Caenorhabditis elegans: one gene and its partner. The protein of the gene in region 1 purifies or fractionates together with the protein of each later gene. This does not show direct contact. Each region holds a gene or a part of one and is shown in the gene's direction. Other genes may lie near its edges.

The links. The genes of interacting proteins can lie anywhere in the genome.
Region 2: the proteins of dhs-25 (region 1) and mltn-1 fractionate together in Caenorhabditis elegans (co-fractionation; one large-scale study listed by BioGRID). This does not show direct contact.

What each region holds. Positions count from the first base shown.
Region 1 is NC_003284.9:1,484,671-1,489,859, forward strand, and holds dhs-25 ((3R)-3-hydroxyacyl-CoA dehydrogenase), read left to right. Parts: upstream 1-1,861; 5' UTR 1,862-1,904; coding exon 1,905-1,944; intron 1,945-2,524; coding exon 2,525-2,766; intron 2,767-2,889; coding exon 2,890-2,964; intron 2,965-3,307; coding exon 3,308-3,481; intron 3,482-3,646; exon of another isoform or gene 3,647-3,667; intron 3,668-4,243; coding exon 4,244-4,459; 3' UTR 4,460-4,656; downstream 4,657-5,189. Other genes in the region: D1005.4 (Activin_recp domain-containing protein), read right to left, coding at 230-379, 539-652, 1,002-1,121; D1005.10 (C-type lectin domain-containing protein), read right to left, coding at 1,236-1,291, 1,407-1,515; F09E10.5 (Globin family profile domain-containing protein), read right to left, coding at 5,002-5,164.
Region 2 is NC_003280.10:13,139,212-13,146,863, reverse strand, and holds mltn-1 (MLt-TeN (mlt-10) related), read left to right. Parts: upstream 1-1,638; 5' UTR 1,639-1,706; coding exon 1,707-1,948; intron 1,949-2,744; coding exon 2,745-2,896; intron 2,897-3,084; coding exon 3,085-3,253; intron 3,254-3,985; coding exon 3,986-4,341; intron 4,342-4,425; coding exon 4,426-4,550; intron 4,551-5,206; coding exon 5,207-5,797; intron 5,798-6,890; coding exon 6,891-7,385; 3' UTR 7,386-7,520; downstream 7,521-7,652.

The sequences.
Region 1 (5,189 bases):
AGTTTTGAACCTAGTACAAAAATGAACCGAAACACTTTCCAACGGTAATTTTAGGGGTTCAGAGCTGAATTCTGTCCCTGAAATTTTTGTGGTGACCTAGTCTTAACATAGGCCTTAAACAGGCCTCATCTGGAAATTGGATTTTCAGGCTTAAAAATTATGGAAAGGTTTAAACGAGAGGCTCTGAAAATTGACTTTTTATTTTGTCAATTTTTTATTATTTAAATTTTCAAAATAGGAAAAAGAACATGCAAAAAACATATATTGCTGAAAAAGTAGTAAAGCTCTGTCCTGATAAATTGCAGAAATCGTAATTACAGCAACACGCTTTAACATCAACATCACCAAGCTTTTCCTTTTGACAGCTCACTCCGTTGGTCTGAAACTTATTATATTTTTTGTAGACCTCTCAGCAGTTTTGAAAACGCTTTTGGCTTGAATTTTTACTAAAGTTAGCTAAGATCAAATGAGCAAAATTACTTAACCAACGCTGAACACATTTGAAAACTCAAAATAATATGTGCTATTAAAAACTTACATCACAATTTGTAATAGACACTGTCGGATCGGGACACGTTCCATTGAACACTGTGAAATAAGATGCTTGCTCAGAAAGCGTCAAACAATAAAGGCCATTGCAGGTGATAGCTGTCTGAAATTTCATTGTTATAGTTATGATTGAAAGGTTGGAGCCCGTTTCAGTTTTCTGGTGGCACTTGTTTCAGTTTAAGCCTTGTTCAAGCCGGGGACCAAGGCCTATAATCCAGTCCTCTAATGCTCCACTTCCAGATTAAGGCTGGATAGATTTAGGGGAGCTTGAACTTGTGATTTATGAATTGGTAGAGGTCCCTCTCAAAATTGAATAAAAAGAGTAATGAAGTAAACGTTTTTTTCAACAATTGCACTGACCAACAACAACTCAATTTAGTTAATACATTTTTTATAGTAATATAAATGTTCAAAATTAATTATTTTTTCAAACAACTTTTCATTTTCCTTACCTTACCGACTGTATGCGTCTTGCCTTCATAATCCATTTGTGAAAATGCCCAGCACTGTATCGAAGCTACCGGTATAATAAAGGTAATAAAAATCGATATAAATAAGAAATAAGTAGGCATCATAAAATTCAAAAGTGTGCAACTGTTGCTTTATCAGTGAAAAGCATTGGAAACTGTGCTTTCGTCATGTGAAATGCAAATTTTCAGGTTTTGTGATTTATTTTCAACTAGTACTTACTTATCAAATTGCGCACATTTGTATGAAATTGCATGCCATAATTGTTGATTTTCTGTCAAATATTTTTAAATTGGAATTTTAAGTTCAGTTTGAACTGCAAAACTAATTTCTGAATGTGTTCATTGCGCCGTAAACATTCAAACTATTTATGCAACTCGTTAACTTACCAAGTGCACTGACACCACTTTGCACTGACCATTGACCATTTTGCATTGACCAATTTGCATTGGCCATTTTGCACTGACCAATTTGCACTGACCAATTTGCATTGGCCATTTTGCACTAACTAATTTGCACTAAACAACTTGACATTTTTTTTGTTGTTGAGCACATGTAATTTTTTGATAAAACGGCCTGAAAAAATCTTGAAGTCACACTATCATCGGGTGATTCCGAGCTGTTCCCAATTCTCAAGTTTACAACTCCCGAAAACTTCACAAGTCACTAATCACACATCACTAGGTTCCTCCGAGGTCAAACTTTTCCCGTTGGAAAAGAGACAATTGAAGAGTGAGAGGTTGCATGACGTCATAGACAAACGTCCAAGTGTCTGTGACCTCTCATTTGCATGTACTGTCTTGTCGGGGAAGGTATATATTGATCATCTAGCGTTTGAAACAGCGCACCAGTGTCTCTGTAGTTTGGGCAACGAGCAGTCGGTAATTATGAGTGCTTTGCTGGGAGGACGAATTGCTGTGGTTACCGGTGAGTTGTTTTATTTGCAAAAAATTATTTTGAAAAAAAAATTGCAAACACCTAATTTAATATATTTTTCAAGTTTAAAATAGAAGGAAAAAAAAATTTTTTGGAAAAAAAATTAGCAAAAATTAAAAAAAATTGTAGTGATTTTGAGAATTAAAAATAAAAAAATTGAGCAAATATCGTTTCGTGAGTTAAATAAAAGAAGTAAAATATGAGTTGACATTGAAGTTGGTCAGTGCATTTCACACGTTTAGTCAGTGCATTTGGTCCGTAAAAAGCAAAAAACATACCAAGTGCACTGACCACCTGACTAGATCAAACCGAAACCCCCAGAAATTACTCTCACAAAAAACCTGCTCACTTCCAGCTTTTTGCAACATGAAACGTACTCGAAAGTCACATTTTTTCTGTAGTCCTGAGAAAAAACGTTAATAAAAAATGTTTTTATTCTCATAATCCAAGAAAAAATGAATGTTAAAGTGTGGGAAATAGAATACGGTAGCTTACGCTATATGTATATTTATAGCGTTTTTCAGAACTCACAATGTAAAAAGAGCAAAAACCAAAAAGAGCCAATTTTCAGGTGGTGCATCCGGCATCGGCAAGGCCATCTCGCAGACGTTGGCCAAGCATGGAGCTCGTGTCGTAGTTGCCGATTTGGATTCCGGCAACGCTGCAGCCACTGCAAAGGCTCTTCCAGCTAGCCAGAGCCATTCCTCGTTTGCCTGTGACGTGTCAAATGCAGACAGTGTGAAGGGGCTCAGTGAGCATGTAAAATCGCTGGGAACACCGTCGATTTTGGTAAATTGTGCAGGGATCACAAAGGTTCGGTTTTTTTACAAATTCATCCTAAATCGTACACCTACAGTAATCCTTTGTTACTAAAAAGGTGCTGTTGGAGTCAAAATATGTGTCTAGCGAACTAAAGAAACAAAAATTTTTTTAAAGGATTCTACACTTCTAAAAATGAAGCAGGAGCAATGGGACAGTGTCATTAAGGTCAACCTTACCGGAGTCTTCCATGTGAGTTTTTTTTTCTGAAAATTGAGGCGAAAAAGTTTTCCGATACAGTGTGATCCTAGATTATTTTTTAAAAGTGATTGAAACACTGTCAGAATAAAGATAACAAAATCAAAGAGGTAATAATATTTTATACCCTTTTTACAGTTTTTTTTTTTAAATTTTGACTTGCGACTACCGATCGTGACGGCGCACAACTTTAGACTCTCCCCCAAATTTTACCATTGGTTGTCAGATAAGAAAGCTTGCTCAGCATGAAAAAAAAACTATAAAACAAAAATTTAATATCTACTTGAAAGTTACTAATTTTTACATCAGTTCCAAAATGTTTTAAATACAATTTCAGGTATCCCAAGCATTTGTCAAAGCATCAGTTGACAACAACAACCACCCATTATCAATTATCAATGTTTCATCAATTGTCGGCAAAATGGGAAATTTCGGCCAAACCAACTACGCAGCCACCAAGGCCGGAGTCATCGGGTTCACAAAATCTGCAGCGAAAGAGTTGGCGAAAAAGGTGAGTAGTTTCTGATTTTGCGGCAAATCTCAAATAGAAATATAATATAAAATTTATACGAAAATATAGTGAAAAATATCTAAATCTACCGGCCCATACTTTTTTGTGCACACCTCTGTTGCACTATGTTTTAAAATAGACAAAGCAATAAAAAAGAGATTTCGTTGACGAATTGAAACTAAAGTTTTGTTTCCCAAAAAAGTATCACGTCGAAAACAATAAAATGCACTAGACTTTCCTATGTTCAAATATGTTCAAATATGTTCAAACTGTTACGAAAAATTATTTTTTGGTGCACTACGTATGTTTTAAAATGAGCTTTGTTATATTCTGCTAAAAAATTTTTATTGAGAATTTCATTAGTGATTAGGTCTTAAAAATTAACATGTACTGCCAGAAAAATGTCAAAACTGGAAAACTGCATAGTTTTTTTTCTTTTCGATGCACCATGTTGCAAAATGAATTTTGCATGATTACTGAGGCCTGAACTTAATAGTTCAATTCCGCTTTGAACTTTGGAGAACTATGTATTCACGACGTTAAAAAGCATTCGATGCACCATGTTTTGAAAGGAATTTTGCATGCCTGGTACTGGCTGTACATAGAAAACATTTCAAATGTAGCTATCATTATTGGAAAATTAATTTAAACGTTTTTTTTTAAATATTCAGTAGATATACCAAAAAAAAATTAAAATCTCGATGCACCATGTTCGGGGGAATCGCCTTTTGACCACTACCATCTTACTGAAATTTTTTCCAGAACGTACGTGTGAACGCAGTGCTCCCAGGCTTCATCAAGACCCCAATGACAGAGGCAATGCCACCGACTGTGTTGGCCGAAATCTGTAAGGGAATTCCAATGGGCCGGATGGGTGAAGCCGAGGAAATCGCCAACTCCGTCTTGTACCTTGCCTCTGATCTCTCCTCATATGTGACTGGTGCCACTTTGGAAGTTACCGGTGGATTTAGTATGTAGATTAAATTTAGACTTTTTACTTTGACGGTTTATATCGTGGATTTTAAAACTTCTGGAGATTTTTATTTAATTAATGTATACTTTTGAAAGTCTATGAAAAAATCTGAAACTATGCCCTCAAAGTAAGCAGGTAGCTTGGTTTAGAATCTTTGTTGATATTGTGATTAACTTTGTTTCATGAAATGAATATTTGTTTTAAATCGGGATATCTTTATTAGTGATCAAATATACATTATAATTAAAAAATGAAATAAATGTTATTCAAATTATTGCACGAAGGTTTAACAAAACTGTTTTGTATAATTGTTCAATTGAAAACTTTCACGTTTTGTTAACAAAATTTGAGTATAAGGTTATTGATAAATAGGAAAACTCTAAACTAAATGTTAATGAACCCAGCAAATTACATTTTTGTCAGTGCAAACATTTTTTGGTCAGTGCAAACATTTTTTGTTTAGTGCAAACATTTTTTTGCTAAATGTTTCTTAGTCACTGCCCGAAGTGAAATATTTTAATTTTGAAAAAAAACTCAAGTAACTTATTCAAAAATGTCTAGAAACATTAATCGGAGAATACTCATCAGGCTTATTCACAAAATCCAAACTAATGTCACAAATTTCAATAGGAGCCGACTCGTCAATGTCTTCCTCGCGGGAGTGTGAAGTGTTGATTCGAAGTTGAGTGGAACGTGTTGGTACCGTGATTCTGAATTTATTACTTGGAAACTGTA
Region 2 (7,652 bases), on another chromosome or scaffold:
AAATCGGCAAATTTTCGGTTTGCCGATTTGCCGGAAGTTTTCATTTTCGGCGATTTGCCGATTTGCCGTTGCCGGCTCAAAATTTGGCGGAAGGTTTTAGGCGGATTTTTTAAAGGACGGAAACACTTAAGACTGTGCATTTTGAATTTTTTTTTCCGTTTTCTGTAGATATTTTCATAGAATTTGCTTACTTTTCAAAATAGATGTAGGAACATTCATGAGAAATTAAAGTGCACACAAGAGACAGCTATACTTTAAAAGCCGAAAAAGAAATGTAAGTCATTGATTGTTCAATTGCCGTTCGGCAAATTTTTTGTCGACAAATTCGGCAAATTGGCAAATTGCCGATTTGCCGGAAACTTTTATTTTTGGCAATTTGTCGATTTGCCGATTTATCGGATATTCTCAATTCCTGCAATTTGCCGATTTGCCGGAAATTTTGATTTTCTGCAACTTGCTGATTTGCCGGAAACGTTCATTTTCGGCTAATTATCGATTTGCCGGAAACTTTCATTTTCGGCAAATTACCGATTTGCCAATTTGCCGGAAATTTTAATTTTCGGCAAGTTTCCGGTTTGTCGATTTTCCGGAAATTTTCATTTTCGGCAGTTTGCCGATTTTCCGAATTGCCGGAAATTTACCGATTTGCCGGTTTGCCGTTTGCCAAACATCAATTTGCCGGAAATTTTTAGAGGGAGTTTTTAGAAGACAGAAACACTTGAAACTGTGCCTTTTTGAAATTTTTTCCCGTTTTTTCTAAATATTTTCATAGAATTTGCTTATTTTCGAAAAAGATGCTGGAACATTCATAGAATGCGTACATTTTTGCCGATTAAAATTGAAATTCTAAAGCTTAAAAAAATTGAAAAACCACAATTCGGCGAAAATTTTCGAAAATCTCCGTTTTTCCGGCAAATTCGGCAAATCGGCAAATTACCGGATTGCCAACAAAAATTTCAATTCCAACGATTTACCGGTTTGCCGATTTGCCGGAAGTTTCAATTCCGACGATTTGCCAAAAAATTTTTAATTCCGGCAATTTGCCGATTTGCAGGTTTGCCCAAAATTTAAATTCCGGCAAGTTGCCGATTTGTCAAAATGCTAAATTTCTGCAATTTGCCGATTTGCCGATTTGCCGGAAAAAATCGTTTGTAGTTTGCCGCCCAGCCTAGTTTACCGGTACACTGTGTGCATAAATCGTAATCAAATATAGGGATCCTATTGGATATCACTCGAGAAAACTGAATTACCGTATAAAACTTCTAATCCTTCCAAATCCGAAGAACCTGAGAAGTTGTCAAACACACATACAGGGAACAAATAGTTTTTCGCATTTTCAAAGATAAAAACCAAAACTTGAATCCTTTTTGACCGCCCCCCCCCCCTTCAAACTAGCATCATTGAAACAATGCGCATTCCACGTGATATGAACACACACATACACACTTCAATCTTTATCATCAAAATCGTGAAAATCAGGATCAAAATGTGGCCACCTGTTATGCTATAGATCTTGGTTCAACGGGATCATCTCCCATCCTTTGAGAACATCTTCTCTCCTCGTCACGGGAAGGCACCGCCCAGCAAGTGATAACCACGTTTTGGAAAAACTTTCGGGATGAATCCGAAAACTCCGCCCTCTTTACATCCAGAAATCCATAAAATCACAGGGAATCCCTTTTCTCTGGTCTCTGGTTTACCACATTATGATCCTATTCCCTATTATTTTATTTCTAACACTTCTACCGTATCCATGCACCTGCTTAAAAGTTAAATCGGAAGTAGATGTGACAAAATATGGGTTGACGCAAAAAGAAATCTTGAAATCTCCACATTATAAAGACAAAGTTTTCAATGTTCCCATGTCGACAGAGTCTGGAGAAGAGCTCTTGGAGCATTGGGCGGTTCAAGGATTTTCCGGAGTTGTCGCAGCGATTGCTACAAGAAGGTGAGATCAGACTTTGTTATTTTAGACCTAAAATGGTCTAAAGCTACCGAATTTTGTGATGAGACGTTCTGAAAATTTTTCAAAAAAAAGTTATGGCCGCTCAAAGTTTTGGAAAAAATGATCTTTTTTTTTAGCTAAAATCTCAAATTTTGGCAACTTTTCGCGGCAATTTTCGACCGGCAATTCTACAAAATGAGACAGTTGGGCATGTTCCCCATAAATTTTTCATTAAAATTTAATGATACAATATAGAAAAATATTTGCTTTATTTGAAAATAACTGTTATTTTAGTAGAAAAATCTCCAAAAATAGTCTGAATGTTGACAATTGCCGGTTAAAATTGCCGAAAAAGTGGCGGCAATTTTCACCGGTAATTTTCAATATTCGGACAATTTTTGAACACTTTCTCGGTTGTTCCAAGTCAAATAAAAGTTATCTTCAAATAAAGTAAATATTTGTCTATATTATATCATGAAAATTTAATGAAAAATATTGTGGGAACATGTCCAACCATCTCATTTTGTAGAATTGCCGGCTGGCAATTGCCGCGCACTCTGAAAAGTTGCCGAAATTTGAGATTTTAGCTAGAAATTGACCATTTTTGCCTAAACTTTGAGCGGCCATAACTTTTTAAAAAATAAATTTTCAGAACGTCTCATTACAAAATTTGGTAGTTTTGGACCATGTTAGATCTAAAAATGGCAATTTCTCAAATTTCGTTACTTAACATTTAAGAAAATACGCATTTAATGCCACGAGCAATTTGTTAAATTTGTTAAATATATTAATATTTCAGACTAGCCCTTGTTGAAGACTACCAAAAAAAGAGCCATGAGAAATGCTCATCCGAGGCTGAAACTCTTTCGGAGCACGCAAGTTGCTTGCTCAAGCTAGAAGACGACGCACATAGAAATCGATTGGTTCATAGGAGAAAGCTCTTCAGCAGAAGTGAGCATTTTAATTTTACGTAGTTTAAAAGGTAAACATTTCTAGTTGACTTGAGAATTTCTGAAGAAATTTTCCCAATTTTGCCCAAATTTTGCCCAATTAGTCGGCTTGCTGTACGAGCTGACAGCCAAAAAAAAAAATCAGCTAGCCGTTCAGCCCTGATCCCCACTGTACTGAACATATTCCAGAGATGCGTCGCCGAATCGATAAGATGGTTACCAACACTACAATGACTCCAATAACTGAAAAAGAGATTCGGGAAGATAAAGAATGGATTGGGTCATTCAAGTTTCGGGCAAAACGAGAAATTAGAGTGCACACCAGAGATAGCTATACTTTAAAAGCCGAAAAAGAAATGTAAGTGGTTGAGTGTTGGCGGCAAAAATTGTTTATTGACAAAAAAAATTGGCAAATCGGATTGCCGGTTTTCGGCGAATTATCGATTTTCCGGAAACTTTCATTTTCGGCAAATTACCGATTTGCCAATTTGCAGGAAATTTTAATTTTCGGCAAATTTCCGGGTTGCTGATTTTCCGGAAATTTTGATTTTCGGCAAATTGCCGATTTGTCGGAAATTTTGATTTTCGGCTATTTGCTGATTTGTCAGAAATTCTCAATTCCGGCAATTTATCGATTTGCCGAATCGCCGGTTTGCCGGTTTGCCAAATTGCCAGACGTTTTTAAAGATAATTTTTATAAGACGGAAACACTTAAAATTGTGCCTTTTTGAAATTTTTCCCGTTTTCTTTAGATATTTTTATAGAATTTGCTTATTTTTTTCAAAACAGATGTAGGAACATTCATCGAATGCGTACCATTTTGTCGACAAAATTTGAAATTCTGAAATTTCCAAAAAAGTACAAAACCACAATCCACTATTTGTCGACAGTTTTCGGCAATTGCCATTGTCCGACAAACTCGGCGAATCGACAATTTGCCGGTTTGCCGGTTTTTCGGAAGTTTTCAATTCCGGCAATTTTTTAATTTGCCAATTTGCCGGAAGTTTTCAATTCCGACAATTTGCCGATTTGCCGATTTAAACAATTTGTTTGCTGCCATAAAATATGTATAAACCGTAATCTGTTCTAGGACACCATTCGGCCTGGTAACGAGACATCTCTCTAGCGCTGTGAAACTTCTCAAAAAGACGGACAAGGTGTCAAAGTGGCAAGATACTATCGAACGAATCACCAAGAAAGCCGAAGAAATCAAAGAGCAAAAGAAAATGGAGGATTTTATGCAAAAGAGAATGTCGATTTATGCAGATGCAGCTGAAAAGATGAAGCAGAATAAGAAGATTGCGAAGGATGATAGTTTAAAGGAGTTCAACGATTTGGAGCAATTTATAGACAATGATCAGATTAAGGAGGTGTTGAGGAATAGGAAGAATAAAATGACGGAACAGGAAAAGTTGATGATGATTCCGATGAAAATGATGAGAGATGGTTAGTAATGTGAAAATTTTTAATTTGGCCAAAAGATATATTTTTACAAAACGAAACCTTCTAATTATAATAAATAAAAAACAGCCGCCAAGATGGGATTGGAAATGTCGGGTCACAATACAACAGATTTCGATCGGAAAATTGTCAGAATTATCAGTCCACGTCTTATGAGTGTGATTCCACAAGAAGAAGCTGCAAAGAATAATGAGGTAAGGGACAGGCGTGTGCGGCAAATTTGGCAAATTTGCCGAAGTTGCCGAACCCTAACGATTTCGGCACCCGGCAATTTTCGGACTAGCCGAATTTCAAAAGTTTCGGTCGGCCAAATCAATTTTGGCGACCGGTAGTGGCCAAAATTGCCGCTTGCCGAAAAATTCCAAAACCGGCAATTTTCAAGTTTGCCGAACCATAACAATTTCGGCAACGGGCAATTGCCAAAAATTTTCAAAACCGGCTATTGCCGAAATTGTCGATTGCCGAAAAATTCCAAAACCGGCAATTTCCAAAATTGCCGATTGCAGGAAATTTCGAAAACAAGCAAATCTCGATAGAAAACAAAAATTTCCAAAACCAGCAAATCTCGAAAAAAATGCCCAAAACCGGCAGTTTCTGAAATTGCCGATTGCCGGAAATTTTCAAAACCGGCAATTTCCGAAATTGCCGATTGCCGGGAAATTTCCAAAACCGACAATTTCCAAAATTGCGGATTGCCGAAAATTTCTAAAACCGACAATTGCCGAGAGTTTCCAAAACCGGAAATTTCCGAAGTTGCCGATTCCAGGGGCGGCAAATCACGAAATTTGCCGAGCTCGGTCAGTTTGGCAAATTCGGCATATTTGCCGGACACAATGTTCGAAATTTACAGATTGATCTCCTCTCTCCTTCACTATTTGCTCTACACGAGGATGGCTCTGGAGTAGAAAAGAAAGCATCACTCGGAAACATCCTAGGATCTCTCACCGATAACAAAGACTCTCAGGATTTCTTGGATTTTATTGTGGAAGCAACTGGTGTCAATGAAGCGATGGAACGGGTTGAAAGAAAAATCGGAGAGTATCGAAGACTCAAAGACGATGCGATGGGAAGAGGGCCTGAAGGTCAACCGTTGTACTTCACAAAAGAAAATGTAACAGAAAAATATCCGCATGAGGCGAGGAAAATCGAAATGTTCGAGTCTTTGGATAAAACTTATACCGATGAGCAGCTCAAGGAGATGAACAGAACAGGCTATACTATTATGAGACATGATCAGATGGATTTGATCTACGGGAAGGGATCAGTGGGGGAAAATGAGAAGTTCTTGAAATTGGCAAAATCAATGAGCAGACCACAAATCGATAGAGCTATTATGGGAACAATCAAGGACTTGGCACATGAGAAAGTCAAATTTGAGGCAAAGAGAAATGATATTATTTTATCACCGATCACATTTAGTAACTTCATTTTGGATCCAGTGGTGAGTTAACTGGCCTGTGCGCAGGGGTGCATGACAATTGCAGACCGGCAGTTCTACAAAATTAGACGGTTGGGCATGTTCCAACAATATTTTTCATTAAATTTTTTATTTTTTTTTCATTAAAGATACAATATAAAAAATATTTGCTTTACTTGAAAATAATTTTCACTAGACTTTTAAATAGCGAGAAAGTGTTCAAAAATAGTCTGAATGTGGAAAATTGCCGTCAATTTTTCGGCAATTTTCACCGGAAATTTTCAACATTCAGACTATTTTTGAAGATCTTTCTACTAAACTAACAGTAATTTTTAAATGAAGCAAATATTTTTTATATTCTATCATTAAATTTCAATGAAAAATTTATGGGGAGCCTGGCCAACCGTCTCATTTTGTAGAATTGCCGGTCGACAATTGCTGTGCCGGTCGACAATTGCTGACTGTGCAGCAAACATACAAAACGGCTTCAATATTTTCAATATGATAATCCAATTTTTTAAATCTAAAATAGGTATAGAAGTGTAGAAAAATGTTTGTTCTATCTGAAAATAATATTTATGTTTGTTGAAAAGTTTGAAAAAATTTTCAAATAGTCCCTGGAAGTTATCGTTTGCCGAAATACTTTTAACGGCATTTTTTTCAGCAAACGGCAACTTTCTGGCACAACTTGAGGCTTTTTAAGAGATTTTTCAACAAATATAAATGTTATTTTCAGATGGAACGAATTTTGTTTAATATATAGAAACATGTTTGTATATTCTGAAAAGAATTTTACTTTTCAGTGAAAGTTTTGAAAAATTGCTCGAAGACTATCTTAGTTTCGTAATGTGCCGATCAGGGCTATCTGAAAATTTGCAGAGCTCGGCAAACTCGGCAAATTCGGCAAATTTGCCGTTCTTCGCAAACTCGGAAAATTTTGATTTTTAAATATTTTTTGGAGCACCAAAATTACTGTTATTCATAGAAAAATTTTGAATAGTGTAATATTGCCATTATCAGTGGCTCTGTCTCAATTTTCTCAAAAATCGAACGCTCTTACTTGAAAATCTGGAAAATTTATTCAAAATTTTCCAACAAAAAATCTCCCATATTGCAGGCTGTCTCCCAACCGGCAATCCTGTCTCCTGTCATGCTGTCATCACTGATCCTCTCTCCAGCTGTCTACGGAGTAATGATCCTTTCCCCATGGCTATTGGTACCTGTCATTCTTTCCCCGCGTCTTCTATCACCAGTAGCTGTGAATCCGTTCCTGCTGGTTCCGATCATTCTATCACCTCTAGCCTTTAACCCATTCATCCTGTGCCCAGGATCCATGAATCCATTCGTACTTTCCCCGCTCATCTTCGCCCCATTCATTCTCTCCCCACAAGTACTGACTCCACTGATCTTGACTCCGTTCTGTCTCGGACCAATTATTCTGAACCCACTGGCGTTGAGTCCCCTAGTTCTGTCCCCATTCGTCTTGTCCCCGACAATCCTCTCTCCTCAGTATGTGACTGCTGTCGTGCTTTCTCCATATGCTCTGAGCCCCGCGTGGGGATCCGATGGAGCTATGGTCACCGTGTTTGCCTCTCCAAGTTGGCTTTCATAACATATATATATATATATATATATATACTTCACTTGTGAATTTATGGGTCATATATCTAACTTCTCAATCTACAACTATTACATGTACAATTTAATAATTGATTATTTTTAATAATAATAAAAATATAATAATTTTTATTTTGACTTACACTAAAACAAATCCAGACAAGATAGTCTAAAGAAAATATTTTTTAAGCTGTTCGAAAACTGGTATGAGAGTGGATAAAGATTAGTTTTCTGAGCGTCTAACAAATTAACAAATTACATC